Anolis sagrei: one gene and its partners. The protein of the gene in region 4 purifies or fractionates together with the protein of the main gene of each other region. This does not show direct contact. Links are inferred from orthologs where the notes say so. Each region holds a gene or a part of one and is shown on either strand. Other genes may lie near its edges. The genes, in order: PATL1, ATXN2L, NUFIP2 and DDX6.

Region 1 (7,530 bases), on a different chromosome or scaffold from region 4:
ATTCCTCAGGTACATCTTCAGATCTGAGGACGTAGACTAATACATCTACACTGCAAAGGTAATGCAGTTTGACACCAGTTTAATTGCCATCACTCAATGCAACAGAATCATGGCAATTGGAGTTTTATAGGGTCTTTAACCTTCTCTGCCAAAGAGTGCTGGTGCCTCACCAAATGATGACTCTCATGATTTCATAGTCATGGCAGGTGAAGGGGTTTCAAACTGCATTACCTCTACAGTGTAGATGAACATCCAGTCTACAAAACCTTATACTACCTTAATTGTTTCAATTTATAAAGATCCCTTTGCATACTGAAAATCCAGACTAATTTGGCTGTGTCTTTGAATATTTTCGCAGAGTTCTATTATAGAAGAGACAGTCTTGCTGGCAGAAGGTTCCGGCAGATGAGGAAAACTAATATAAAAGGGACTATCATTTGATAGAATGGAATAAGGGAATTCAAAAGGCATTTAATCAATTCAGACTCCTCTCCATCTCATCTAAAGCCTTAGGGCAAAGATTAGTTTTGTTAGTTATCACTTTTGCAGTCAGGAGACCAGCCATGAACCTAATATTCTGGAGGGTGGGCCTTGGTGTGGGGTCTTTATGCCATTCATGCCACAGGCACAGTACTCAGGGAGAAAGATGAATTGCTTCAACAACTTATCATGTGAGAATTTACTGCATAATCAAGATATATTATATGTAGGAAAAGCTTTTCCATCACAATAATGAAGTAATAAAAATAATAAAACAGTCTCCTAGATTCTTGCATTGCTGGTAGGCATACAATTTAGCTAAGAGAAAACTAAGATTGTTTTCTGCTCTTTGGAGACTAGGCCACAGAGCAACAGATTCAAATTACAGGAAAAGAGACTCCACATTAGGAAGAACTTCCTGACGGCAAAAGCTGTCTGGCAGTAGAATATGCTGCCTTGGTGTGTGGTGGAGATTCCTTCTTTGGAGGTTTTTAAGCTATCTATCGGGATTCTTTTGATCGTGTGTTCCTGCCTGACAGAATGGGGTTGGACTGGATGGTCGTTGAGGTCTCCTCTAACTCTATGATTCCTAAAGCTAAGATCTTATGGAGAGCTTAAGATCTTCTGGGAAGGTCCTCCTTTCGATCTCACCTTCTTCACAGCTGCAGTTGGTGGGGACGAGAGACAGGGCCTTCTCAGTGGTAGCCTCTCAGCTGTAGAACTCCCTCCCCAGTGAAATTAGATTAGCGCTCTCCCTCTTGGCCTTCAGAGAGAAAAGACTTGGCTGTGGGACCAAGCCTTTGGTCAGCGAGCAGTGCAAGAATTGAATAGGGAATATGTGCAATTGATAACTGGAATGGCTTCGGATTCCAATTTTGTATGTGATTTTAATGTTTATACTAAGATGCTTTAATGTCTGAATGTTGTTTGTGCTTTATGTTTTAATATGATTAATGTTTTTACTTTATAGTTATATGTAATGTCTAGATATTATGTTTTGGTCTCACGTGTATGTATGGCATTGAATTTTGCCATTATTATGTTGGAAACTGCTTAATAATAATAATCCCAAGTATAGACTCTGCAAGGAAGCAGATGAAACACTAGATCACATCCTCAGCTCCTGCAAGAAGATCATGCAAACAGACTACAAGCAGAGGCATAACATCGTTGCTCAGATGATTCATTGGAACTTGTGCCACAAATACCATCTGCCTGCGACAAAGAACTGGTGGGATCACAAGCCAGAAAATGAACACGTCAAACTCCTCTGGGACTTCCGAATTCAGACAGCCAGAGGTTTGGAGCACAATACTCCTGACCTCACGATCGTGTTAAAAAACAAAGTATGGGTCGAGAAACTGGAAAAGCTGACACCATATGAGGATTTAAAGATCAACCTGCAAAGACTCTTGCACAAGCCAGTAAAGGTGGTCCCAGTGGTGATCTAGCACCTTGTATTAGCATGCCCAGATTACAATACATACTAGCTCACAACACAAGCATCACAAGTTGCTGCTTCATCAGAATCCAATCTACTCCACTGTAGAAAGTTCTCTCCCTTCTATGTTCTCCAAAGCTTGAGGTTTCACTTCTCAAAACAAAAGGGTAGCAAGACAGATCAAGCATAGCATACACTTATAAACAGAAATTATTATCGCTTACTTCCTATCTCTATATTTTTAAAATCTTACTTTTTACCTTTTTTTTTTTTTTGCAAAAAGTATTTTGTTGGCGCAAATATCTGCAGTAGTGGGAATTGTTGTTTGCTAAGGCCTTGGTGCTCTTTAGCAGAAAAGGCCAAGATCTTGCAAAACTACAACTCCCATGACTCCATAGTATTGGGCCATGGCAGTTCAAGTAGTATCAAACAGGATCAATTCTAGAGTGCATATCAGGCCTGGGCAAACTTGGGCCCTCCAGGTGTTTTGGACTTCAACTCCCAGAATTCCTAACAGCCTCAGGCCCCTTCCTTTCCCCCCTCAGCCGACCTAGCAACAAAACGATCCCTTTCCTAAAGGCAACTGTTAGTTTATCCGCTTGTTTAAGGATGAGACGACAAAGTTTGAGGGGGGCGTTGCTATGGCACCTCGTCCTCTCGGTTGCTGTTATGTCTAAAGGAGATGCATGTGAACCGGGAGGAAGAGAAAAGCCACAAACGTAGAGACCCCAGACTCCCTCTTTTCCGCGCCTTCACCAAGCCTAGACGGGCTCGCGCCCAAATCACACCATGAGCGGGCGCGAAAGGAACTCTTTTGTCCGCTACGGCCCTCCTTAGGCAGGAACCCCCCCCCCGAGGGTCAAAGGTCACCTCTTTCGCTCCGCCGCCACCTCCTCCCTCGGCCCAAGGCTGAGGGAGAAGCAGCCATAGAGCCGCCGCCTCCAATGGCCCCGGAAGCCCGGCAGCCCACGAGATTCCCGGGGCCTCTCCTCACCTGGTAGCGGAACATGGCTGGCGGGGCGCGGAGGCTCCGCGCGGACCCTCGCTTCAGTCCCGGGCCCCCGCCCCCTCCGCTGCGCTGTGCTGCGTCTTGACGTCTCCGGGCGGACGCAAGGATTCCTCTTGCGTAGCTACTTTCGGCGCGCATGCGCACCAGCACCCGCATCCGGCGCCCAAGTCCCGCTATTTAAAGGGCAAGCGCTTCTTTTTCCCCTCTAAGGGAGGAGTCCTGTCTTAAAGGGACACCGCTTAGTTTTTCTTCCTCTAGGGCGGGGCGATCTACTGCGCTTTAGTTTGAGTTCCTCGACAAGCCTTGAAATCACACAGAAATTACAGCACTGGAAAATACATCCAAGGGCCCTTCCACACAGCCCTGTATCCCAGAATATCAAGGTAGAAAATCCCACATTATGTGAGTGTGGACTCAGGGCCCTTCCACACAGCCCTATATCCCAGGATATCAAGGCAGGAAATCCCACATTATCTGAGTGTGGACTCAGATAACCCAGTTCAAAGATATTTTGTGATATAGGGCTGTGTGGAAGGGCCCACAGTTTGGACTCGTATAACCCAGGGCCCTTCCACACAGCCCAATATCCCAGAATATCAAGGCAGAATAACGCACAATATCTGCTTTGAACTGGGTTATCTGAGTCCACACTCAGATAATGTGGTATTTTCTGCCTTGATATTCTGTGATATAGGGCTGTGTGGAAGGGCCCCCAGTTAATTCCAGAAAAGGCAACTTTTCCAAAAATGCCTCGAAGTCATATACAGGCAGTCCCCAAGTTGCAAACGATAGATTCAGTAGGTTTGCTCTTAAATTGAATTGTTTGTAAGTTGGAACAGATACATTTGTAAGTGTAATTCCAGCTAATATACTGCATTTAGCTCTTTTTTTAGCACAGGGAAGGGCTAACAGCCCCGTGGTGTTTGTTTTGCTGTCTCTGCCACTGTTATGAAGATTTCACTTCAGTTTCTGTTGCTGTGATAATTGGATTTTGAAAAATGTGGCTTGTTGTGGAAACAAGGAATGGCAAGAAAACTTCAGTTAGAACACTTTCCCCCCATGGAAATTCTTTCAGGAATGAATTTTGCTTTTGAGGGGTAGATTTCTCTCACTTCCTGTTGCCTCACCCCTGTTTTTATAAATATGAATAGTTTGTAAGTTGGATGTTTGTTGCTCGGGGACTGCCTGCAATTCAAATATCTCAGTATGTATTTTTATTTAGGATTTGAAGAATTGTGACTTTTGCACAGAAAAAGTTATTCCTCCCAACAAAGGATGCCCCCAAGCAGCAATCAGCCAGGCTTTGAAGCTACAAGAACATTAAATGCTCATCAAGATGATCAATTGCAACATTCACACTTGCCTCAAGCAGGCAAGAGTTCTTTCTCCGACCCTGGACATTCCAGAGAGATATAAACCTCACTGGCCTAGTTTCCAACAGACCTCACAACCTCTGAAGATGTCTGCCATAGATGTGGGCTAAATGTAAAGAGAGAATGCTTCAGGAACATGGCCACACATCCCAGAAAACTCACAGCAACCCAAAATGTATATTATTTTATATACTGCTCCATAGGTGGCCCATTTCATAGGTTTGGAACCCTGTGAAACCCACAGTAACTCTAGAACCCACAGTTATGATGCAAGTCGAGGCACACGTCTTGCAGCATTATGTTTGAATGTAATATCACTCTTACAGCATTCCACGCATGAAAATTGGGAAATGTGTGGCCTTTCTTGAGGAAATGTCATCAAGAGTTGTCCATGAGAGAAAACGTTACTAATGAGGAAGACCACGCAAGCAAGGAAAGGATGCAGCAGTTTGCTTTTGCCTATTAAGAAAAACAAGATCACACATTTTCCTCTCTCTACTGAATTGAATTAAAGTACGTACTTCACGGTTTGTTGTAACTTAGCAATTGAGTACAAAATGGGAACATCGAAGATAGAGAAGAACTGGAATGTTTTAAAAGCAGCAGTGGGTGGACAGAGGATTGAGCAGGACAATCCCTGCAAAACCAGGATAGTTGGAGGGCAGAAATTAAGGCCTCTTCTACACAGCTGTATAAAATCCATGTTATCTGCTTTGAAGTGGATTATATGGCAATGTAGACTTGGCTAATCTAGTTCAAAGTAAATAATGTAGGTTATCTGCATTGATATTCCGGTTTATATGGCAATGTTGAAGGACCCTAAGTGGTGGGTAACTGTGGCAATGTGAAGGGCCACTTTAATGCTCTAAAACCCTCCAAACATTGGAATTCCACTTCTGGGTATTTTCAGTTCTAAACAGTGCAAGGAGGCCTTGCAGTCTATTTGAAAGGTATATTATTGCTGCTAGAGGCTTCCGGGGCACAAAAATTCACCTTTTTTGGCCAGAAAAACCTTGTGGTGTTGCAGAGGTACCAACAGTCATGAAAACATCCCTTACCTACTCTTCAATAGCAATCTGCATATTAATAACCGGCTTCTTTATCTCACTCAAGTTTTAATCAGTTTTTTTTTCTTTTAAATTTTCCATGTAGCCCACCCATTGCCACTGTGATTGTGTTTATTGTAATTTTATACTGTTGTGTTTTTACATGCTTTATGTAATTATGATGGTATTGTTTACTGTCTGTGGTTTCAGGTTGCATTTTCAGTTTTATGCTGTTGTAATTTGTGTTTGGGCTTGGCCTCATGTAAGCCGCTCTGAGTGCCCATTGGGGAGATGGCGGCAAAGTATAAATAAAGTTTTTTATTATTATTAATGCATACTCTGTGTTTTCAAACACATATGGTCAAAGTACAGTGTTTTTAGTTGGTTCCTTAGATGCCATATTGAAGGACAGGGGTGGAAAAGTCAAGTGCTACCTAAAGGCTACATAAAGCCTTCAGCAACTCTAGGAAACCCCTATAGCTTCTGAACTCCATTTAGCTGCATGGCTATGAAACCTCCAGACATCGGGACTTAATAAAATAATATACTATTTTGCTTCTACTCACCTTTTAACAACTTAATGGTCACTCTTCTCATAAAGACCCATTTTCTGGACCATGTTGGCCTCTGGATTTTCCCTCCTCTCAAGAAGATCTGGAACAACTTCCATCATTCTCTGTTCTTAATTAACAAGCTCCAGGTGTTGCTTATCACACCCTTTAAGGCTTGTTTCCTATGAGGAAATCACCCCAAGAAGAAGAAAAAAAGCAATTGTCCTTTCTGATTAATTCCCCAGGAATGTAGCTATCATTTGGACAAATTAAATCACTCTCCCTAATAAAAACTTTGCGTGCCTATTTTCTTTGGATACTGAATTGTATTTCTAAGTGCCCAACTGAAGGGTTAAATGACTGCAATGCTAGAAATTTAGAGGTTGAAGCCAAATTCCATAGGGGAGGCAATGGTGACCTCCTCCTCGCTTCATCCCTGCCAGACAGTATGAGCCAATAAAGGGTTGAAAGCTTTGCAGGCTATCTGATGTTGGGGATTGGCATCTCCCTCCCATCCCTATACTAATAGAGAGTTCATGCCGCAGTTACAGATCCTTACTGAAGAAGAGGAGACACTAATGGCTTGCAGAAACAAAGTAAAAGGTTTATTCTAGGAACTCCATCCTAAAATAAGAAAGTTAATCAGGCTGCTGATTAAATCTAATTTCATTTTAAGGAGGAGCTGAGAGAAGACTGGCAAAAGAGAAAAAGAAAAACATCCATAAGTTGTTTATTTATTTACAGTATTTATATACCATTTTTCTCACCCCTAGGGCTGAGAAACCTACATCACAGAAGAGTTGGGATAAACAGGGCCATTCAGACTATCCAACCCTAATATTACAGCCCACTTTGAGACATCCTTGGAAACCTGTGGCTGACAGTATCAAATAGCTCCTAGACCAGTGTTGGTCCATGGGCTATGACTCAAAGTGGCACACATGTCAACCAGTGTTGATCACTAGAATGAAGATGAACAAAACATACAAATATAATTCATAAGGAGAAATGATATCTTCACTTCTCCTTATACAAACCATCTCCTCGAACTCAGATCTAGATTTTGATTTTTGTTTGGGCTACCTAGTTCCACCCCCACACTGGATCCTGCTGTAGCTTATCACTAACAGCAAGAAAAGAACAGGGAATCAAACACTGGTCTGAGTTGTAGTTATATGTTCAAACCATATTCCACACTACCTCTCTGGTGAAATTTTTTAAAGACAAATCCAGGTTGTTGCTATTCTATGTTTTCAAACTGACTCAGACTTAGTGTGATCCTATCCTAGCGCTTTCTTTGCAATACTTTTTCAGTGGTTTGCTTTAGTTTCCTCTGAGAGACTGTCTCTCCAAAGACCATCCAGTGGTTTTACGTGGTATTCAAACCCTAAATCATAGTCCAACATTCAAACCACACCACCACTGAACTCCCAGGACATTATTTCAGGACTATGTGTACAATAGCTTGTGAATAATGATTATAAAAATAGTGGGTTGTTGTAGGTTTTTTGGGCTATATGGCCATGTTCTAGAGGCATTCTCTCCTGACGTTTCGCCTGCATCTATGGCAAGCATCCTCAGAGGTAGTGAGGTCTGTTGAAACTAGGAAAATTGGTTTATATATCTGTGG
Region 2 (7,762 bases), on a different chromosome or scaffold from region 4:
GCCATTGAATTCTGTCTTCTGACCGATATTGCTTTTAAGCATTAATGGTTCTGTATATCAAAATACTTTTAACGCTCTAAAATTCTAGCCAAAGATAGAGGAGGATACAATTTCGCCCACAACAAATTTTGGCTAGCTTGGTAGGACACCTACACATTGCCTTTAGATTCTTAGAAAGATGTCCACCTTTGTGCCAGCTTTCATCCAAAATGTAGTAATTATGAGATCTGTTTTCCAGACAGTTTTTATAGCATTGTTTCTAGGATATTTAATATTAATTAGCCAATCATACATTTCAGATGTATCACCTTTTGGGAATATTGGAGGTTTACACATCCCACATTATGTGTGCACTCTTCCAATTCGTTTCCATTGAGATTTTAGAAAGGTACGTGGCTATTTCTTAAGAGTCAATTCAAGACAACATTTTGCTGTTTAGTCCGGAGTATATGTAGAGGCAATGTTTCTTGCCTTTTTTTAAAGTCCTTAATTTTGAATAATTGGTGTTTTCTCCATGTTTATATTGATTACATTTTTCCAGATAAGAAGGGATGATTTAAGAGGAAACATGGGAAAATGATAGTATTGTAACAGTTGGTCATTGTTCCAATTTTCTCCCAGCCACTGCTATATTCTTCAGCTACCAAGTTGTCACATAAACTATCTATAGCAGGATCTCTGCTCTTATGTGTCTTCAAGTTGTTTCTGACTTATGATGACCCAATGGTGGGCCTATCACAGGGTTTTCATGGAAGAATTTGTTCAGAGGGGCTTTGCACTTGCCTTACTTCGAGGCGTGTGACTATGCTTGCTTTTTTTTTTTTTTGCACAGAATCTCTCCCACCTTGGTGTCCCCTTTCCAAACCTTAAGAAACTTATTTTCAATAATGTTGTGAATATTCTTGAATATTATTTTCATCTCAAGTAGTGTTCATCTGCAGCATTTACCAGAATTAATTAAATTCACTAACACTTTTACCTGTCAGAATCATAGCCTCTTCCAGACATATATTTACACATAAGTTTTTGTTTTGGGTAAGGTTTATTCACATGTTATATACATATAGGATTGCAGCACTAGCCTCCTATTAAAAACATCTTTTTTTAAAAAAAATCTTTATTGCAATTTTCTGTTAAAATATATCATAAAATATCCTAGAAAAGAAAAGAAAAGAAGAAGAAGAGGAGGAGGAGGAGGAGGAGGAGGAAGAAGAATTCGCCTGTCAGGAAAGAATTTGTTGTTGTTAACTGCCTTAAGTCAACTTTGATTTACGGTGACCCTATCAATGAGAGACCTCCAAGTCACCCTTACCAGTGATCCTGCTTCAGGCTTGCAAATGCAGGACTAACTTCCTTAACTGAATCTACCTGGAATGCAATTCTAAGCTGCATCAAGAGAGGTATACTAGATCAAGGGAAGTAATAGCTCTATCCTGCCTTGTTCACACCTCACCTGGAATACTATGTCCTTTTCTGGGTACCACAATTAGAGAAGGATGTGGTCAAGTAATCCTGAGAAGGGCAACTAGAATGATAAGAGATCTAAAAAACATGCTGTAAGGGGAGCGGCTTAAAAAGCTGAATATATTTAGCCTTCAGAATAGAAAATTGAGAGAAGACATGATAGCTATTAAGGGTGTGCAATTTTTTGTTAGTCTTTGTAAGTTGTATCAAATTTGTTGATATCCGACGTGCAGGCATGGCCCGCACCAAAAACTTAAGAATCAAAACCTACCCAATACTATTTCCTTTGAATATTTTAAATCTTGGAAGCCTCCCAAAATCAACTTCATTTTCAGCACAAACAAGCCAAGCCAAGCCATGCATAAATATGTGAAAAGGGGCAAACTTGTTTTTGCTGCTCCAGAGACTAGACTACAATGCAGCAATGGATTCAAATTCTCATGCCCATTCTAATCCACGTTATCAAAGCAGAAAATCCACATTCTCTGATTTGAGTGGATTATCTTAGACTGCACTGCCATATAGTCCAGTTCAAAGCAGATAGTGTGGATTAGAAGCCAGACTGCTATCAGGAGTGAATTACAGGGAGCTGTCTACCCCCGTTTAAGGAACTGAATTGGTTGCCATTAATCACCTACAAAGCCCTGGTTTGGGACCCAACTACCTTCGTGACCGCATTTCCTTTTACAATCCTGCGCAATCTCTTCAATCCTTGGGGGAGGCCCTCTTCTCGCTCCCATCTCCATCACAAGTGCGGCTTGTGGGGACGCGGGAGAGAGCCTTCTCCATTGTGGCCCCTCAGCTTTGAAATTCGCCACCTTGTGAGATTAGGCAAGCCCCCCACCCTGGCAGCCTTTAAGAAAGATCTAAAAACCTGGCTCTTCCATCATTTCCGTCCCACTTTCCCTTGTCTTTAATGAAGGCTCAATCCCACTGTTCGCCCCTTCTGAGCTCCCCCACAGACACATGTTGTTAATTCATTCAGTCGCTTCCGACTCTTCGTTACCTCATGGACCAGCCAACGCCAGAGCTCCCTATCAGCTGTCACCACCCCCAGCTCCTTCAGAGTCAAGCCAGTCACTTCAAGGATGCCATCCATCCATCTTGCCCTTGGTCGGCCCCTCTTCCTTTTTTCCTTCCATTTTCCTTAGCATCATATTTCTCCATTTACTTATCTCTCCCAGGGTTTTATCAGTCTTATTCTGTGCATTTAGCCCACCCACCGTGCTTTTATTTTATTTCTTCATCACTGTGTTTTGCATCTGTTTATATCATTTTCTGTTATTTAATTTTGTTGTTATTATTAGCATTTTATTTTATTGTACTGTAATTCTTGGCTTGACCTCATATTAGCTGCCCTGAGTCCCCTTCGGGAAGATGGTGGCGGGGTATAAATAAAGTTTAATAATAATATTATCTGCTTTGATAATCTGGATCAGGCATGGGCAAACTTCAGCTTTCCTCCTGGTGTTTTGGGCTTCAACTCTCACAGTTCCTACCAGCCTCAGGCCCCTTCCTTTTCCCCCTCAGCCGCTTAAGTCCTGAACCAGTGCTTGGTCGCTATAATGGACTGGATGAGGGACAACAGATTGAAACTTAATCCTGACAAGACAGAGGTACTCCTGGTCAGTCGAAAGGCCGAACAGGGCATAGGGTTACAGCCTGTGCTTGACGGGGGCACACTCCCCCTGAAGGCGCAGGTTCGCAGCTTGGGAGTGATCCTGGACTCATCGCTGAGCCTGGAGCCCCAGGTTTCGGCAGTGGTCAGGGGAGGTTTTTCACAATTAAAACTCGTGCGCCAGCTGCACCCGTACCTTGGGAAGTCTGACTTGGCCACGGTGGTCCACGCTTTGGTTACATCCCGATTAGATTACTGCAACGCTCTCTACGTGGGGTTGCCTCTGAAGACTAAGCTTCAATTAGTCCAACGTGCGGCAGCCAGGTTACTAACGGGAGCGGGGTACAGGGAGCATACTACTCCTCTGTTGCGCCAGCTCCACTGGCTGCCAGTCAGCTTCCGAGCACAATTCAAAGTGCTGGTCTTAACCTATAAAGCCCTAAACGACTCCGGCCCAATTTACCTGTCCGAATGTATCCTCCCCTATGAGCCATCAAGATTACTAAGATCATCTGGAGGGGCCCTTCTCGGTGGTGGCTCCTCGACTCTGGAACTCCCTTCCACTGGAGATCAGAACTGCCTCTTCGATCTTAACGTTCAGGAAACAGGTGAAAACCTGGCTTTGGGGATTGGCATTCAACGAATGAGCCATGATCCTGTGATATGGATGGATGACGACTAATAATGACTTTGATGACGACTGACCACTGTAATCATGATTGTATTTTTGACATTTTAATTGTTTCAATGTTTTAGTGTGATTTAGAAATATGATGTTTTAATGACGGTCTGTAATATTGATGTTGGAAACCGGCCCGAGTCCCTCGAATGGAGGTGAGAAGACTACAAAACTGCCGAATAAATAAATAAAATAATTAAGCGGCTGAGAGGGAAAAGGAAAGGGCCTGAGGCTGTTAGAAATTGTGGGGGTTGAAGTCCAAAACATCTGGAAGGGCCCAAGTCCAAAACACCAGGGCTTAAGCAGCTGAGGCGGAAGCAACTGAAATTCTCTAACAAAAAATGTGTTTTCCCCATTATTACAGATCTAATCTTATTATCTGTACTGTAACATACTCATATTTGTTAAAAATGTACTCTATAACACATTATAACTACGAATCTAAATACAAAGAAGGGGTGGCGTTGTCCTTGAGGTGGCTACGGCGCAACCCGCGTGACATTGAAGAACTGGGGTCACACGGGGTCAACGGCCTTCCAGCGACATCCGGGGCTTCAGCGCCTTGGCAGGAGGCCACGCCCCCCTAGCCATGCGCACTGCGAGGCTCCCAAAGGCTTATCCCTCCCTCCCGGCAGGTTTGTGCGCAAGCGCGGCGTTCCCACTTCCCTCTCTCTCGGGGTCCCGCGCCTGCGCACTCCGAACAGGCGATAACGAGGCAGGCCTGGGTCTTTGTTTCCTCTTGCGCATGTGTAGTGGGGGCCCTTACCGGAGGAACGCCTCCTTTCCCTTTCCCCCCCGCCCCCGCAGCCAGGAACCCGATCCTACACATTGGTCGGAGGGAGGAAGCGCTAGTGGGAGACGTAGGGAGGAGGAGGGAGGAGGGGCCGAGGGAGAGAGGGAGACGTAGAGAGCGTGCGTGTGCGCGCGCGGGAGAAGGAGGAGGGGCCGAGGGAGAGAGGGAGCGCGCGCGCCCTCTCTCGGCGCATGCGCAATCGCGAAGCCCCTCCTTCCACCAGGGACTCATTGTGCAGCAACCGGATTGACTCCTTCTCGTCCGCGCGGGCGCCAGCGGGATCCTGTACTACTTCCCTTTTTTCCTTAAAAGAGGGGGGGAAAAAAGAGGGGGAGGACAAAACAAAAAAATAACCACCTCTACAACCCGGCTCGACGGAAAACAAAAAAGGGGTTTGGAACCGTTTCGCGTCGGGAAAGGGGAAAAAAAGGGGGGTTGGCTTCTTCTCCCTCAGCGCCAACATCACCACTCTTCCCCCCGCCCCTCTCTCTCTCTCTCTCTCGCTTTGACTTCCTCCTTTTGCGCGTGCGCACACGGCTGACTTTCCCCCTCCTCCCCCAACCCCCACCTGCGCGGGTTTGAGCCTCTTCCTCGCGGCCTCTTGATTGGCTGAAGCGCGCGCGCTCGAGAAAGAGAGAGGGAGCGCGAGCCTTAGAACTTCTCTCCTTTCTCTCTCCTTCCCCCCTCCCCCCCCGCGACAAAAAAAGGGCAGGGCCAGGCGACCAATCAGAGGACGCGTCGCTCGCTCGCGCGCGAGCAAGCGTAAAAACCCGTTCCTTGGCCTCGAGGCCTACGTTGAAAAAGCGAAGGAACGAGCGCGCTCCCGACGCTCTGAGAGAAGGCAAGCAGGGAAGTCAGTCAGTCAGTGAGTCGCTCGCGCGCGCGCTAAGGCCTAGGCTAACGAAGGGCGGGAGTCGATTGAGGTTCTCTTCCTCCTCCTCCTTTAAGAACCCTCGTTTGTGACCACCCTCGCTGTCTTGTCTGTCTGTCAGTCAGTCAGCTAGGGAACTCCTTCGCCGGCCGGCTTCCCCTTCCGGGTTCAATTCGAACCTCCTCAAGGGAATCCTAGGCCTCAACGGCCTCCTGTGCGCCTGTGCTCAGGCAGGCAAGCCAGGCAGGCGGGCGGGCTCGGGAAGCTGAGCCTGTGGCGTCCGCCATGTTGAAGCAGCCGCTGCCGCCGCCCTCACCGCAACCCGCCCCTCCGGCTTCGGGCCCGGCGCCGGCCTCCGTGCCCACGCCGCCCCTCGCAGCCGCCGGCACCTCTTCGGCTACCGTCGCCGCCGCCTCACGGAAGGCCAACCCGCCGCCCGCCAGCCCCAACGGCAGCCTCAGCCCCGGCGCCGCGGGGGGAGCCCGGGTTGCCACTGTGGCGCCCCCCGGGAGCGGAGGAGGAGGTGGAGGAGGGACCCCGGGAGGAAGCGGGACGAGGTGGGTATCACTTTAATGTTACATCCGGGGAATTTGGGTACAGGGAGGGAGGGAGGTGCGTGGACGCGCAGTGAGGGGTTGAAGAGAGGACTTGGCCAGGCCGCGGGGAGGAGGGCGGGACCAAAGGAGTGTGCGGCCCTGATAAGCGGAGGCCCGAATTTCCGGGCGCTGATTGGGCTGCGCTCTAGCCAATGGGGTGCCCCGCCCCAGGGCGAGGGAGGGGGACAACATGGAGGGGGGCTCCCCTTGCAGAAATGGAAGACAGGCAGGGTTGGTGTGAGGTTTTCAGGCTTTATGGCCATGTCCCAGTAGCATCTATGTCAGGCCCTTTTCAGTGGTTCTCAACAGGCCCCTAGCCAGGATTTTGTTTCCGGGGGGTGGGGGGGGGGGCTGAGTCTGAGTGAAAGAGGGTCTGCCCTAGCAAACCTTTTGTATCATTAGGTTCTTGTAGGTTTTTTCGGGCTATAGGGCCATGTTCTAGAGGCTTTTCTCCTGACGTTTCGCCTGCACGTTTCGTCAGGAGAAATGCCTCTAGAACATGGCCCTATAGCCCGAAAAAACCTACAAGAACCTAGTGATTCCAGCCATGAAAGCCTTCAGCAATACTTTTGTATCATTACCCCAATACCCCCATGCATATGGGATATATTGAGCATGGTGATCATATCATGATATGAATAAACATAACAGTTTAAATAATGTACCAGGAAGGCCTTTTCGCGGACCACCATGAGAATTTGGGGGGGGGGGGAAGCCACCAAAGCCCCCCCCCCCCCCCCGCGGCTACATGCCTGGTTCTCAACCTGGGGTCCCCAGATGTTTCTGGCCTACAATTCCCAGAAATCCTAACAGCTGATAAACTGGCTGAGATTTCTGGGAGTTGTGGGCCAAAAACATCTGGGGACCCCAGGTTGAGAACCACTGCTTTAGGTGCTTTGGACTTTAACTCCCATGTAAGTTACACATATGTTACTGATCTCTGTTGCATCATAATAGACTCACCCAAGTCTTGTAGAACAAGGCTCTGCAATACATTTGAAATGCATTTTCAAAAGAAGTTATTATTATTATTATTAACTTTATTTGTACCCCGCTAGCATCTCCCGAAGGACTCGATGCGGCTTACAAAGGCCAAGGCCTCAAAACACAACATAACAATACAAAACCTAAAGCAAATTAAAAACAGTTAAAGCAATATTAAACAACAAGCAATAATCAGACATGGGCTAACTTCAACTCTCACAATTCCCAACAGCCTCTGGCTCTTTCCTTTTCCCCTTCAGTCGCTTAAGCATAGTATGTTTTGGGTTAAGCATACTATGAACCTCTCAGGACTTTAAGATCGTCTGGAGAGGCCCTGCTCTTGGTCTCGCCTTTGTCACAAGCACAGTTGGCGGGGACGAGAGACAGGGCCTTCTCAGTGGTGGCCTCTCGGCTATGGAACGCCCTCCCTAAGGACATCAGATCGGCCCCCTCCCTTTTAACATTTTGGAAGAGAGTTAAAACTTGGTTCTTTGAGTAGGCATTTGCAAATACAGAGTAACAGACATAGGAAAATGGAATGAATGACAATGTGACTGGACAATGTTTTTAATGAGGAGACCCTAATGATACGTATTTTTATTGATTCTGTCATGGTTTTATTATTCTATTGTTTTATTATATTGAAATTGTATTTTATGGTCTTGGTACCAACTGTAAACCGTCTCGAGTCACCTGCAGGCAGAGAGGGATGGTATATAAATATAGTAAATAATAAATAGTAAATAAATGTGTTTTG
Region 3 (6,848 bases), on a different chromosome or scaffold from region 4:
CCCATTTAAAGCCTCAAAGATACTCAAGTGGGGGGGGGGGGAGCCCCAAACCATCCCACATATAGGGGAAAGAACCCTATAATCACTCCGCCCAAAGTCCCTTTTCCCCTCATCTGGAAGGTACACAGAAAAGTGGGGGGACCCCTTGAAAGGAAGAAATCCTATCTCTTTGGAGAGATTCCCAAGAAGGGGGACCTCTAAAAGTCCCCTTTTCCCATTTGGAAGATACACAGACAAAAAGGGGGACCCTTGAGAGTCTCTTTGGAAAGTTAAGAAAAAAGCGGGGTCCCAAGAGAAACGGGGACCCATTGAAAGTCCTTTTGGGGGGGTACCCAAGAAAACTTCTCTTTCCATTGGGAAGGTTCCCAAAAAGTAGGGGACACCCTAAAAGTGTTAGAATCCATCCCTTAAAGAAATGCAAAACAGCAACAATGTCCTCTCAAAATATGGGGGTGCTGTTGAAGGATCCCCCCCCCAAAAAAAACACAGACTTAAAGCTCTGGAAAGGTAATTAAGTTATCCAAAAATATGGGGTGTTGTTGAAGAGTCTCCCCTTTCCCTGGCTCTGTTCCTTCGCCTTGAAACAGCAACAGAATCCTCCCAAAATATGGGGGTGCTTTTGAAGGATCACCCCACAAAACCCAGACTTGAACCTCTGGAAAGGCAATTAAGTTATCCAAAAATATGGGGTGTTGTGGAAGGGTCTCCCCTTTCCCTCTCTTCCTTGGCCTTGAAACTGCAACAATGTCCCCCCAAAATATGGGGGTGCTGTTGAAGGACCTCTCCCCCAAAAAAACAGACTTAATCTTCCTCTGGAAAGGAAATAAGTTGTCAAAAATATGCGGTGTTATAGAAGAGTTTCCCCTTTCCTTGGCTCTCTTCCTTGGCCTTGAAACAGTAACAGTGTCCCCTCAAAATATGGGGGTGCTGTTGAAGTATCCCCCATAAAAAGACTTGATCTTTCTCTGGAAAGGCAATTAAGTTATGCAAAAATATGGGGTGTTGTTGATTCGTCTCTCCTTTCCCTGGCTCTCTTCCTTGGCCTTGAAACTGCAACAGTCCCTCCAAAATATGGGGGTGCTGTTGGAGGACCCCCCTCCCAAAACCAACCTTCAAGCTCAGATGTAGCTGGGAATAAACGTTATCCAAAAATATAGGGGAGTTGTGGAAGGATCTCCCCTTTCCCTGGCTCTCTTCCTTGGCCTTTAAACAGTAGCAGGGTCCTCCCAAAATATGGGGGTGCTGTTGAAGGATCCCCCAAAAAACCAGACTTAATCTTCCTCTGGAAAGGAAATAAGTTGACCAAAAATATGGGGTGTTGTGGAAGGATCTTCCCTTTCCCTGTCTCTCTTCCTTGACCCTTAAACAGTAACAGGATCCTCTTAAAATATGGGGGTGCTGTTGAAGGATCACCCCCCAAAAAACCCAGACTTGAAGCTCAGGAAAGGCAATTAAGTTATAAAAAATATGGGGGGTGTTGTTGAAGGGTCTCCCCTTTCCCTGGCTCTCTTCCTTGGCCTTGAAACTGCAACAGTGTCCCCCCAAAATATGGGGGTGCTGTTGAAATATCCCCCCCAAAAAACCCAGACTTGAACCTCAGGAAAGGAAATAAGTTATCAAAAATATGGGGTGTTGTGGAAGGATCTTCCCTTTCCATGTCTCTCTTCCTTGGCCTTGAAACAGTAAGTGTCCCCCCAAAATATGGGGGTGCTGTTGAAGTATCCCCCCAAAAAATCAGACTTGATCTTCCTCTGGAAAGGCAATAAGTTATCCAAAAATATGGGGTGTTGTGGAAGGGTCTCCCCTTTCCCTGGCTCTCTTCCTTCGCCTTTGGCTCTATTTCCCCCCTTTCCCCCCTACTTAGGGTACCCCAAAACCTTCCCTCCATCCATAGAAAACCTAAAGACCCCCCAAAAAATATTTCAAATCCACCCTCCCCCAAAAATACCATTCCTCTTCCCTTGTGCTTCCCTTTGGGTGGGGCGAGACTTGGGAAGGCGCGTGGAGAGGCGCCTTTTGGGCCTGGCTTTGCACCCCTTTCCCGACCCCAAAGCGGGCACCCCATCCTTTAGACATCCCCCCAAGAGTCCCTTGTACCCATAGGGGGCGAATTTCCCTTTCCAGACCCCCCAAAAGACGGTATTTTTCCCCCCACAACCACCTTTTCCTGTGCGCCTTGGCCGCGCCTAGCCAAGGCGCAAAAGAGGGGAAAAAATGGAGAGGGGGATAGGGGGACCCTCTTCGTGACGTTCCCACGCCTCGCGTGTACACCCTAGCGACCCCATTCCAACGGGATCGTGTTCCCCATCGTTTTATGTATAAACACCCTAAAAATCGTTTCGATGGGGTGTTGTTAAGTACCCCAAAAACCGTGCGTAAAAAGGCACCTCTCCAAAAAGGGACCCCTCTCCTTCGGAGAGGGGTCCCTTTTTGGAGAGGTGCCTTTTTACGCACGGTTTACTCCCCCGCGGAAAACCCACCTGTTCTCCTTCGGGTCGGCTCCTGGGCGGCTTGGGGGTTCCCCCCAAAGCTCCCCACTGTCCCCCCGTTCCTGGGGTCGTGTTTGGGGTTCCTCTGTGGGGCCAAAGGGGCCTTCCTCTCATTCCCATTGGCCCCATGGTTGCTGCTGCTTCCTCCTCCAATTCCTCCTCCTCCTCCTCCTTCGTAATGCTGGTGATGCTGGTGGTGGTTGTGGTTGTAGTAGTAGTAGTGGTGGTGGTGGTGATGGTGGTGGTGGTGGGGATGATGGGAATGGTGGTGCGATGCAGAGGAAGGAGGGAGAGGGTGCTGCTCCTCCATTGAAAAGCCCCCCTCTTGGCTCGCTCTCTCTCTCTCTCTCTGCCACAAAATAGCAAAAATGTATCAACACAGATACACAGAGGAGTAACAGTAGCAGCAGAAGAAGAAGGAGAAGAAATAGGAGGAGAAGAAGGAGCAGTTCCTCGTTGGCTCGGGAGCGCGCGCAGGGCCCAAGACAAGCGCGCCCCCGCCTGATTGGCACCTCTCTCCCTCCCCCTTCAGACCAATCAGAAGCCTCTCCGGTCTCTCTTTAGGTCCCACCTCCTTCTTTCCGCTTTCCCAAGGCAAGGCAAGGAAGGAAGAGAGGAAGGAGGGAAGAAGGAGGGAGGGAGGGAGTGCGCGTGCCCGCCCCTTCCTCCTCCTCCTCCTCCTCCTCTTCTGAGAAAGGCAGACGTGGAAAAAGCTCTGCTTCTTCTGGAGCCTTCGGGGACTTTCGCGGGGTGGCTCCTTCTTTCCTTCTTTCTCTTTTCCTCTCCTTCTTTCCTCTCTCTCTTTTTCTTTCTTTCCTTCCTCTTTCACTCTCTCCTCCCCCTTTCTCTTTCTTTCCTTCCTCCCTTTTTCTCCCCTTCCTCTTTCTTTTCTCTCTTCCCATATTTCCAGTCTCGCCTTCTTCTCTTTCTTTCCTTCTCCGTTCCTCTCATTTCCTTCCTCTCCTTCTTTCCTTTCTCTTTCCTTTCATCTCTCTTCCTCCCCTTTCTCTTTCCTTCTCCTCTCCTTTCTCTTTCCTTTCATCTCTCTTCCTCCTCTTTCTTTCCTTCTCCTCTTCCCCTCCTTCTTTCCTTTCTCTCTTTCCTTCTTCTCTTTCTCTTTCCTTCCTTATCTCTTCCTCTCCTTTCTCTCTTTCCTTCTCCTCTTCCTCTCCTTCTCTTTCTCTTTCCTTCTCCTCATCCCCTCCTTTTTTTCCTTTCTCTCTTTCCTTCTCTCTTCCTTTCCTTCTTCTCTTCCTCTCCTTTTTCTCTTTCCTTTCTTCTCTCTTCCTTTCCTTTCCCTCCTCTCCTTCTTTCCTTTCTCTTTCCTTCCTCTCTTCTTATCCTTTCCTTTTTCTCTTTCCTTCTTTCTCTCTTCCTCTCCTTTCTCCTTTCCTCTCCTTCTTTCCTTTCTCTTTCCTTCCATCTTTCTTCCCTTTCTCTTTCCTCCTCCTCCTCCTCTTCTGAGAAAGGCAGACGTGGAAAAAGCTCTGCTTCTTCTGGAGCCTTCGGGGACTTTCGTGGGGTGGCTCCTTCTTTCCTTTTTTTTCTCTTTCCCTCTTTTTCTTTTCCTCTCCTTCTTTCCTCTCTCTCTTGTTTTTCTTTCTTTCCTCTTTCTCTTTCTCTCCTTCCTCCCTTTCTCTCCCCTTCCTTCTCCCTTCCTCTCCTTTTCTTCTTCCTCTCTTCCTCTCATTTTTCTCTTTCTCTTTTCCTCTCCTTCTTTCCTTCTTCTCTTCCTTTCCTCTCTCTCTCTTGTTTTTCTTTCTTTCCTTCCTCTTTCACTCTCTCCTCCCTCTTTCTTTCTCTTTCTTTTCTTCCTCCCTTTCCCCTTCCTTCTCTCTTCCTCTCCTTTTCTTCTTCCTCTCTTCCTTTCCTTCTCCTTCCTTCATTCTCTCTTCCTCTCCTTTCTCTCTTTCCTTCCTTCTCTTTTCCTCTCCTTCTTTCCTTTCTCTCGCTCTCCTTTTTCTCTCCCTCTCCTCTCTCTCTCTCTTGTTTTTCTTTCTTTCCTTCCTCTTTCACTCTCTCCTCCCTCCTTCTTTCTTTCTCTTTCTTTTCTCTCTTCCCATATTTCCTGTCTCTCTTTCCTTCCTTCTCTCTTCCTCTCCTTCTTTCCTTTCTCTTTCCTTCCTTCCCTCTTCCCTTTCTCTTTCTTTCTTTTCCTCTCCCTTTCTCTCTTTCCTTTCTTCTCTCTTCCTTTCTTTTCTCTCCTCCTTTCCTTCTTTTCTTTCTCTTTCCTTCCTCTCTTCTTATCATTTCCTTTTCTCCTTTCTTCCTTCTCTCTTCCTATCCTTCTTCTCTTTCTCTTTCCTTCCAACTCTCTTCCTCCCCTTTCTCTTTCCTTCTCCTCTTCCTCTCCCTTCCTTTCTCTTTCCTTTCTTCCCTCTTCCTCTCCTTCTTTCCTTTCTCTTTCCTTCCATCTTTCTTCCCTTTCTCTTTCCTCCTCCTCCTCCTCTTCTGAGAAAGGCAGACGTGGAAAAAGCTCTGCTTCTTCTGGAGCCTTCTGGGACTTTCGTGGGGTGGCTCCTTCTTTCCTTTTTCTCTCTTTCCTCTTTTCCTCTCCTTCTTTCCTCTCTCTCTTGATTTTCTTTCTTTCCTTCCTTTCTCCCTCTCCTCCCTCTTCCTCTTTCTTTCCTTCCTCCCTTTTTCTCCCCTTCGTCTTTCTTTTCTCTCTTCCCATATTTCCAGTCTCGCCTTCTTCTCTTTCTTTCCTTCTCTGTTCCTCTCATTTCCTTCCTCTCCTTCTTTCCTTTCTCTTTCCTTCCATCTCTCTTCCTCCCCTTTCTCTTTCCTTCTCCTCTCCTTTCTCTTTCCTTTCATCTCTCTTCCTCCTCTTTCTTTCCTTCTCCTCTTCCCCTCCTTCTTTCCTTTCTCTCTTTCCTTCTTCTGTTTCTCTTTCCTTCCTTATCTCTTCCTCTCCTTTCTCTCTTTCCTTCTCCTCTTCCTCTCCTTCTCTTTCTCTTTCCTTCTCCTCATCCCCTCCTTCTTTCCTTTCTCTCTTTCCTTCTCTCTTCCTCTTTTTCTCTTTCCTTTCTTCTCTCTTCCTTTCCTTTCCCTCCTCTCCTTCTTTCCTTTCTCTTTCCTTCTTCTCTTCTTATCCTTTCCTTTTTCTCTTTCCTTCCTTCTCTTTTCCTCTCCTTTCTCTCTTCCTCTCCTTCTTTCCTTTCTCTTTCCTTCCATCTTTCTTCCCTTTCTCTTTCATCCTCCTCCTCTTCTGAGAAAGGCAGATGTGGAAAAAGCTCTGCTTCTTCTGGACCCTTCGGGGACTTTTGTGGGGTGGCTCCTTCTTTCCTTTTTATCTCCTTTCCCCTCTCTCTTGTTTTTCTTTCTTTCCTTCCTCTTTCACTCTCTCCTCCCTCTTTCTCTCCTTCCTCCCTTTCTCTCCCCTTCCTTCTCTCTTTCTCTCCTTTTCTTCTTCCTCTTTTCCTCTCCTTCTTTCCTTTCTCCTACTCTCCTTTTTCTCTCCCTCTCCTCTCTCTCTTGTTTTTCTTTCTTTCCTTCCTCTTTCACTCTCTCCTCCCTCTTTCTTTCTTTCTTTCCTCTCTTTTTCTCCCCTTCCTTTCTTTTCTCTCTTCCCATATTTCCTGTCCCTCTTCCTTTCCTTCTTTCCTTTCTCTTTCTTTCCTTCTCTCTTCCTCTCCTTCTTCTCCTTCGTTTTCTCTCCTCCTTTCCTTTCTCTTTCTTTCCTTCTTTTTCTCTCCTTCTTTCCTTCCTTTCCTTCTCCCTTTTCTCTTCCTTTCCTCTCTCTCGTATTTTTCTTTCCTTCCTCTTTCACTCTCTCCTCCCTCTTTCTTTTTCTTTCTCTTTCTTTCCATCCTCCCTTTTTCTCCCCTTCTTTTTTCTTTTTTCTCTTCCCATATTTCCAGTCTCTTCTCCCCTCCTTCTTTCCTTTCTCTCTTTCTTTCCTTCTCTCTTCCTTTTCTTCTCTTCCTTTCCTTTCTCTTTCCTTCCTTCTCTCTTCCTTTTCTTCTCCTCTTCCTCTCCTTTCCTTTCTCTCTTTCCTTCCTTCTCTCTTCTGCTCCTTCTTCTCTTTCTCTTTCCTTCCTTCTCTCTTCCTCTTCTTCTTTCCTTTATTTCCTTTCTCCCTTTTTCTTGCCTTCCTCTTTCTTTTCTCTCTTCCTCTCCTTCTTTCCTTTCTCTTTCTTTCCATCTTTCTTCCTTCCCTTTCTCTTTCCTTCCTTCTCTTTTCCTCTCCGTCTTTCCTTTCTCTTGCTCTCCTTTTTCTCTTCCTTTCCTCTCTCTCTTGTATTTTTCGTTCCTTCTTTCACTCTCTCCTCCCTTTCTTTCTTTCTTTCTTTCCTTCCTCCCTTCCTTCTCTCTTCATCTCCTTCTTCTCTTTCTTTCCTTTCTTCTCTCTTCCTCTCC
Region 4 (7,887 bases):
TTCCATCGTTGGTGGGGTTCAGAATATTCTTTGATTGTAGGTAAACTATAAATCCCAGCAACTACAACTCCCAAATGACAAAATCAATTTTTTTTTAGTGAAGGACATACATTGGGTTGTTAAGTGTCTTGTGTCCAAATTTGGTGTCAATTCGTCCTGTGGTTTTTGAGTTCTGCTAATCCCACAAATGAACATTACATATTTATATAAGATTATTATATGAATATATATATTATTAGCTTAACACAGGGGACAAGTCTTATTATTATTTTTAGTATTATGTTAATATTATTACATTTGTTAATTTAATTATTACATTTGGCCCTGCCATCCTTTTTTAAATTCTGTATGTTTTGATATTATTATTGTTTATTGTGTATTTTTTGTTTTTGAGTTTTTATTTTAACTGTTTTGTATTGATTATTGTTATTGCTTTTGTTTATTGATGTGCTGTGGGCTCCCTTGGGGAGATGGTAGCGGGGTACAAATAAAGTTATTATTAGTATTATTATATTAGCATTATATTAGTATTACTATATTGTTGTTATGCTATGTTTTTATTGAGGCCTTGGCCTGTGTAAGCCGCATTGAGTCCTTCGGGAGATGCTAGCGGGGTAGAAATAAAGTTAATAATAATAATAATAACAACAACTTTATTTGTACCCTGCTACCATCTCCCCAACACAATACACAATAACAACTTTATTTGTACCCCACTACCATCTCCTAACACAATATACAATTATTATTATTATTATATTAGCATTATACTAGTATTACTATATTGTTGTTATGCTACGTTTTTATTGAGGCCTTGGCCTGTGTAAGCCGCATCGAGTCCTTTAGGAGATGCTAGCGGGGTACAAATAAAGTTAATAATAACAACAACTTTATTTGTACCCCGCTACCATCTCCTAACACAATATACAATTATTATTATTATTTTTATTATTATTATATTAGCATTATATTAGTATTACTATATTGTTGTTATGTTATGTTTTTATTGAGGCCTTGGCCTAGTGTAAGCTGCATCGAGTCCTTCGGAAGATGCTAGCGGGGTACAAATAAAGTTAATAATAATAAGAATAATAATTGTATATTGTGTATATTAACTGTTTTGTATTGATTATTGTTATTGCTTTTGTTTATTGATGTGCTGTGGGCTCCCTTGGGGAGATGGTAGCGGGGTACAAATAAAGTTATTATTATTATTATATTAGCATTATATTAGTATTACTATAGTGTTGTATATTGTGGTTAATAACAATAATATATTGTGTATATTAACTGTTTTGTATTGATTATTGTTATTGCTTTTGTTATTGATGTGCTGTGGGCTCCCTTAGGGAGATGGTAGCAGGGTACAAATAAAGTTATTATTATTATTATTATTATTATTATATTAGCATTATATTAGTATTACCATAGCGTTGTATATTGTGGTTAATAATAACAATAATAATAATTGTATATTGTGTATATTAACTGTTTTGTATTGATTATTGTTATTGCTTTTGTTTATTGATGTGCTGTGGGTTCCCTTAGGGAGATGCTAGCGGGGTACAAATAAATTTGTTATTATTATTGTTATTATTATATTAGCATTATATTAGTATTACTATATTGTTGTTATGCTGTGTTTTTATTCAGGCCTTGGCCTGTGTAAGCCGCATCGAGTCCTTCGGGAGATGCTAGCGGGGTACAAATAAAGTTAATAATAACAATAATAATAATAGTATATTGTGTTGGTTATTGCTATTGCTTTTGTTTATTGATGTGCTGTGGGCTCCCTTAGGGAGATGGCAGTGGGGTACAAATAAAGTTATTATTATTATTATTATTAGCATTATATTAGTATTACTATAGTGTTGTATATTGTGGTTAATAATAAGAATAATTGTATATTGTGTATATTAACTGTTTTGTATTGATTATTGTTATTGCTTTTGTTATTGATGTGCTGTGGGCTCCCTTAGGGAGATGGCAGTGGGGTACAAATAAAGTTATTATTATTATATTAGCATTATATTAGTATTACTATAGTGTTGTATATTGTGGTTAATAATAAGAATAATTGTATATTGTGTATATTAACTGTTTTGTATTGATTATTGTTATTGCTTTTGTTATTGATGTGCTGTGGGCTCCCTTAGGGAGATGGCAGTGGGGTACAAATAAAGTTATTATTATATTAGCATTATATTAGTATTACTATAGTGTTGTATATTGTGGTTAATATAAGAATAATAATTGTATATTGTGTATATTAACTGTTTTGTATTGATTATTGCTATTGCTTTTGTTTACTGATGTGCTGTGGGCTCCCTTAGGGAGATGGTAGCGGGGTATAAATACAGTTAATATTACTATTATTATTATTATTATATTAGCATTATATTAATATTATTATGTTGTTGTATATTGTGTTAGGATACGCCCCTTTCGCCAAAAGAGTTGAGGGCGCAAACAAAGGTCGGCTGCATCCCGAAATTGGGGATGGAGAGAAGAAATGGGGAGAGTTTGTGGGAGAAAAAGAAGGGGGAGCGGGAGGGGGCGGGAAGGCGAGGCCGAGCCAGGGTGCGTGCTGGGCGGGGAAGCGCGCCACGCGAGGCCGGGGATGCGCTTCCCCCGCTAGGCCGCACCTCCCTCAGAGAGTCAGGAGCGAGGCCTGACTCAGGAGGGACGTCTCTCCCTTTCGAGCCCCGACCGGAAGCGGCGCCATTTGCATTTCCCCCCGCTTCCCTTTCCCTGGCCTTCCCTCAGCGAGGCCTCCCTTCCCTCGTCAGGCCTCGAGCCTGGGTTGGAGCTTACCCGCCCGCGCCCGGCTGTGGCTCCTTCCTCCGGCTGCGGCCCCTGGGCTCCCCCCTCCGCTCTCGCGCTCCCGCGCCTCCGCCCTCGGCCGCTGGCTCCTTTCGGGACGATGGCGGCCTGGGAGGCGGCGGCGACGGCAGCGGCAGCAACAGCGACGCGACAACAAGATGGCCGCTCTCTCCCTCCTTCCTCCTCCTCCTCCTCCTTCCCTTGCGTCCTTCCTCTCCACCAGGCCCCGCCTACTGCCCACTGCGCACGCGCGCCTTGCCAAAAGGGGGCGGGGCGACAGGGCGGCTCGGGCCTCGCCTCTGAGTGGCTCGGGAGAGCTGCCGTGGGCGGGGCTTCGTGAAGGGCACGCCCCCTTTTCGTTTTGTTTGGGTTGCAAGGAGAGGAAGGAAGCAGCTAATCTCTCTCTCTCTCTCTCTCTATCTATCTATCTATCTATCTATCTATCTTCTATCTATATCTATCTACTATCTATATCTATCTATCTTCTATCTATATCTATCTATCTATCTTCTATCTATATCTTTCTCTATCTATCTCTATCTATCGCTATCTATATCTATCTATCTAATCTATCAATCTATCTATGTCTATCAATCTATCTATCTAATCTATCTATATCTATCTAATCTATCTATATCTATCTATCAATCTATCTAATCTATCTATCCATCTAATCTATCTATATCTATCTATATCTATCTATCTATCTATCTATCTAATCTATCCAGAGAAGAGAATGATGCTGGGGAAAGTGGAAGGCAAAAGGAAGAGGGGCCAACCAAGGGCAAGATGGATGGATGGCATCCTTGAAGTGACTGGACTGACCTTGAAGGAGCTGGGGGTGGTGACGGCCGACAGGGAGCTCTGGCGTGGACTGGTCTATGAGGTCACGAAGAGTCGGAGACGACTGAACGAATGAACAACAACAATCTATCCATCTAATCTATCTATCTATATCTATCTATCTAATCTATCGCTATCTATCTATCTATATCTATCTATCTTCTATCTCTATCTATCTATCTTCTATCTATATCTATCTATCTATCTATCTATATCTAAAAATCAATCAATCTATCTATCTATCTATATTCTCTGTGCATAATGAGTATCTTAAAAACAAAATAACCAATGAACGAAATCACACCAAATTTGGCAACAAAACGTCTCACTACACAAGGAGTGACGATCACTCAAAAAAAGATGATTTTGTCATTTGGGAGTTGTAGTTGCTGGGATTTATAGTTCAGCTACAATCAAAAACATTCTGAACTCCACCAATGATGGAATTGAACCAATCTTGGCACACAGAACTCCCATGACCAACAGAAAATACTGGAAGGGTTCGGAGGGCAGTGTCCTTTGGTTTGGGAGTTGTAGTTCACCTACATCCAGAGGACACTGTGCACTCAGACAATGATGGATCTGGACCAAACTACACAAATACTCAATATGCCCAAATGTGAACACTGGTGGAGTTTGGAGAAAATAACCTTAACACTTGGGAGTTGTAGTAGCTGGGAGTTATAGTTCACCTACAATCAAAGAGCATTCTGAGCTCCAGCAACAACGGAATTGAACCAGTCTTGGCACACAGTTCTCCCATGACCAACAGAAAATACTGGAAGGGTTTGGTGGGCATTGTCCTTGGGTTTTGGAGTTGTAGTTCACCTACATCTAGAGAGCACTGTGGACTCAAATAATGATGGATCTGGACCAAACTTGGCACGAAGCCTCAATATGCCCAAGTATAAACACAGATGGAGTTTGGGGGAAATAGACCTTGACATTTCAGAATCGTAGTTACTGGGATTTATAGTTCCCCTACAATCAAGGAGCATTCTGAACCCCACCAGTAACGGAATTGGGCCAAACATCCCACACAGAACCCCCATGACCAACAGAAAATTCTGTGTTTCCTGGTGGTCTTTGGTGACCTTTCTAACACCCCCCTCGTGACCTCCCCCCCCCCCCCGGTATTGACTTCCCAGGTTGAGAAATGCTACCTTAAGGCCATCCAGTCCAACTCCCTTCACCAGGGCAAGAAAACATAATCAAAGTCCTCCTGACAAAGGGCCATCCAGGAATTCACACCCACACATATATGTATATGACAGATGCAGTATCAAAGATCTGAAAGGGACTCCTAAAGAAGGACAATGATATGTTGCATGTTCCAGAGTAGGCAAACCAGACACTCTCCACATCAACACTGACAAAGAAACAAGAAGAAATACTGTTTACCCACAAGCAGAAAGACATGACAGATATTAGAAACCAACACTTTCTCATTACTTTATTTTCCAGATCACCAGACCGGGCCACAGCAACACGTGGCAGGGGACCGCTAGTTATATATATATATGTGTGTGTGTGTGTGTGTTGTTCATTCGTTCACTCGCCTCCGACTCTTCGTTACCTCATGGACCAGCCCACGCCAGAGCTCCCTGTCGGCCGTCACCACCCCCAGCTCCTTCAAGGTCAGTCCAGTCCCTTCAAGGATGCCATCCCTCCATCTTGCCCTTGGTCGGCCCCTCTTCCTTTTGCCTTCCACTTTCCCCAGCATCATTGTCTTCTCTAGGCCTTGCTGTCTCCTCATGATGTGGCCAAAGGACTTCCTCTTGGTCTCTAGTCTCCTTCCCTCCAGTGAGCAGCCGGGCTTTCTTTCCTGGAGGATGGACTGGATGGATCTTCTCGCGGTCCAAGGCACTCTCTGCACTTTCCTCCAACACCACAGCTCAAAAGCATCTCTCTCCCTTCACTCAGCCTTCCCTAAGGTCCAGCTCTCACATCCGTAGGTGACTACAGGGAAGACCATGGCTTGGACTAGGCAATGGATCTTGGTTGCCAGTCTGATGTCTCTGCTCTTTACTCTTTGATCGAGACTGGACATTGCTCTCCTCCCAAGAAGGAAGCGTCTTCTGATTTCCTGGCCACAGTCTGCATCTGCACTCATCTTTGCGCCTAGAAATACAAACCCTGTCACGGCCTCCACATTTTCTCCCTCTATTTCCCAGTTGTCAATCATTCTTGTTGCCATAATCTTGGTTTTTTTGATGTTTATATATATTGCATTTGAATTCATACAAGAAAAAAAAAAGGAAAAAAGGATGGATTTTAATCTATTTTTAAATTTTAAATCTATTTTGTTGAATTTATACAAAAGAGAAAAAAGGAGGCAGTTTAATCTATTTTTTAAAAGTAATTTCTGTGCAGTTGAATTCATAGAAAGGAGGGGAAAAGTTGGTGGTTTATTTAAAAATTTATATAATTTTTTGCATTTGAATTCATACAAGAAAGAAAGGAAAAAAATATAAAAGGATGGATTTTAATCTATTTTTTAATTTTAAATATATTTTTAATCTATTTTGTTGAATGTATACAAAAGAGAAAAGGAGGCAGTTTAATCTATTATTTTAAAGTAATTTCTGTGCAGTTGAATTCATAGAGAGGAGGGGGAAAGTTTTATTTAATTTGTTATTAAAGTTGGCAGTTGAATCTATTTTAATGATTTGATTTTTTTTTTTGCAATGGTTTTTAATCACCTAATCATCTAATCACCTCTCAACAAAAGATTGCCCCAGGCACTGCCAGGCCATCAAATGCTAATCAAGGTGGTCAGTTGAAACATTCACACCTAGCTCCAGCAGACAAGAGTCCTTTGTCCCACCCTGGTCATTCCACAGAGATATAAACCCTTTTTCCTAGTTCCAACAGACCTCACTACCTCTGAGGATGCTTGCCATAGATGCAGGCGAAACGTCAGGAGAAAATGCCTCTAGACCATGGCCATATAGCCCGAAAAAACCTACAACAACCCAGTGATTCTGGCCATGAAAGCCTTCGACAAGGCCTTCTTCTGTCTCCTTCTTCAGGATTCCATTTGTGAGCCATCACCAGGTCTTCTCCTTGTCAACTCCCAGCAGGTCCAACCAAGCCAGAGAGGTCTCAGCTGAGATTGGAACCAAGAGCACCTAACCCATTAGTGTTATGGAGAAGCAAACCAAAACAAAGTCTATACTGGCTCAGCCAATGCCCAGGATAAAAAAGACCGTGGTGGATGCTGCTGATTCTGGACATCTATCAACAAGTGGGCTACAGAATCAAAATAACAATCACAAAAGCGGCAGAAATATACAATGCCAGAAAACCATATTATTATTATTATTATTATTATTATTATTATTATTATTAGGTTCTTGTGGGTTTTTTCGGGCTATATGGCCATGTTCTAGAGGCATTCTCTCCTGACGTTTCGCCTGCATCTATGGCAAGCATCCTCAGAGGTGTGAGGTCTGTTGGAATTAGGACAATGGGTTTATATATGTGGAATGGCTGGGGTGGGGCAAGGAGCTCTTCCCTGCTGCAGTTAGGTGTGAATGTTTAGCTGATCACCTTCATTAGCATTTGAAGGCCTGCCTGAGCCTGGGAAATTCTGTTGCTGGGAGGTGTTAATCTGTGCCTGGTTTTTTCCTCTCTGTTGTTTAGCTGTTATAATTTTAGAGTTTTTTAACACTGGTAGCCAGATCCTGCTCACCTTCATGCCCCCCCCCCCCCCCGCTGAAATTGTCCACATGCTTGTGGATTTCAATGGCTTCTCTGTGTAGTCCGACAATTTCAGCGGGGGGGGGGGGGGACATGAAGGTGAGGAGGATCTGGCTACCAGTGTTAAAAAACTCTAAAATTATAACAGCTAAACAACAATTTCATCATTGGTGGAGTTCAAAATGCTCTTTGATTGTAGGTGAACTATAAATCCCTGCAGCTACAACTCCCAAGTGTCAAGGTCTATTTTTTTTGAGTGAAGGACACACATTGGGTTGCTAAGTGTATGTTGTTCAAATTTGGTGTCAATTCCCCCAGTGGTTTTTGAATTCTGTTAATCCCACAAACGAACATTACATTTTTATTTATATAGATGATGATGATGATGATGATGATGATGATGATGATGATGATGATTAGACTCCATCAATGGCTGCCTTGACTTTGCAAGACCTGTTCCTCAGGGAAATCTCGTCCAACAAGTGGGGACAAAAGAGCTCCTTGACCCAGCCTAGAATT

Evidence for each region.
Region 1: the proteins of DDX6 (region 4) and PATL1 purify together in Homo sapiens (affinity purification with mass spectrometry; 6 studies listed by BioGRID and IntAct, with this or other methods). This does not show direct contact. The link is inferred for Anolis sagrei from reciprocal best matches to the Homo sapiens genes DDX6 and PATL1.
Region 2: the proteins of DDX6 (region 4) and ATXN2L purify together in Homo sapiens (affinity purification with mass spectrometry; 6 studies listed by BioGRID and IntAct, with this or other methods). This does not show direct contact. The link is inferred for Anolis sagrei from reciprocal best matches to the Homo sapiens genes DDX6 and ATXN2L.
Region 3: the proteins of DDX6 (region 4) and NUFIP2 purify together in Homo sapiens (affinity purification with mass spectrometry; 6 studies listed by BioGRID and IntAct, counting the BioPlex papers as one, with this or other methods). This does not show direct contact. The link is inferred for Anolis sagrei from reciprocal best matches to the Homo sapiens genes DDX6 and NUFIP2.

Annotation. Positions count from the first base shown.
Region 1 is NC_090021.1:234,834,486-234,842,015, forward strand, and holds the start of PATL1 (protein PAT1 homolog 1), read right to left. Parts: upstream 3,005-7,530; 5' UTR 2,931-3,004; coding exon 2,916-2,930; intron 1-2,915. UniProt on the Homo sapiens protein: RNA-binding protein involved in deadenylation-dependent decapping of mRNAs, leading to the degradation of mRNAs. Acts as a scaffold protein that connects deadenylation and decapping machinery.
Region 2 is NC_090026.1:22,718,051-22,725,812, reverse strand, and holds the start of ATXN2L (ataxin-2-like protein), read left to right. Parts: upstream 1-4,744; 5' UTR 4,745-5,710; coding exon 5,711-5,982; intron 5,983-7,762. UniProt on the Homo sapiens protein: Involved in the regulation of stress granule and P-body formation.
Region 3 is NC_090031.1:34,092,713-34,099,560, reverse strand, and holds the start of NUFIP2 (FMR1-interacting protein NUFIP2), read right to left. Parts: upstream 3,011-6,848; 5' UTR 2,800-3,010; coding exon 2,481-2,799; intron 1-2,480. UniProt on the Homo sapiens protein: Binds RNA.
Region 4 is NC_090027.1:43,713,490-43,721,376, forward strand, and holds the start of DDX6 (probable ATP-dependent RNA helicase DDX6), read right to left. Parts: upstream 3,021-7,887; 5' UTR 2,815-3,020; intron 1-2,814.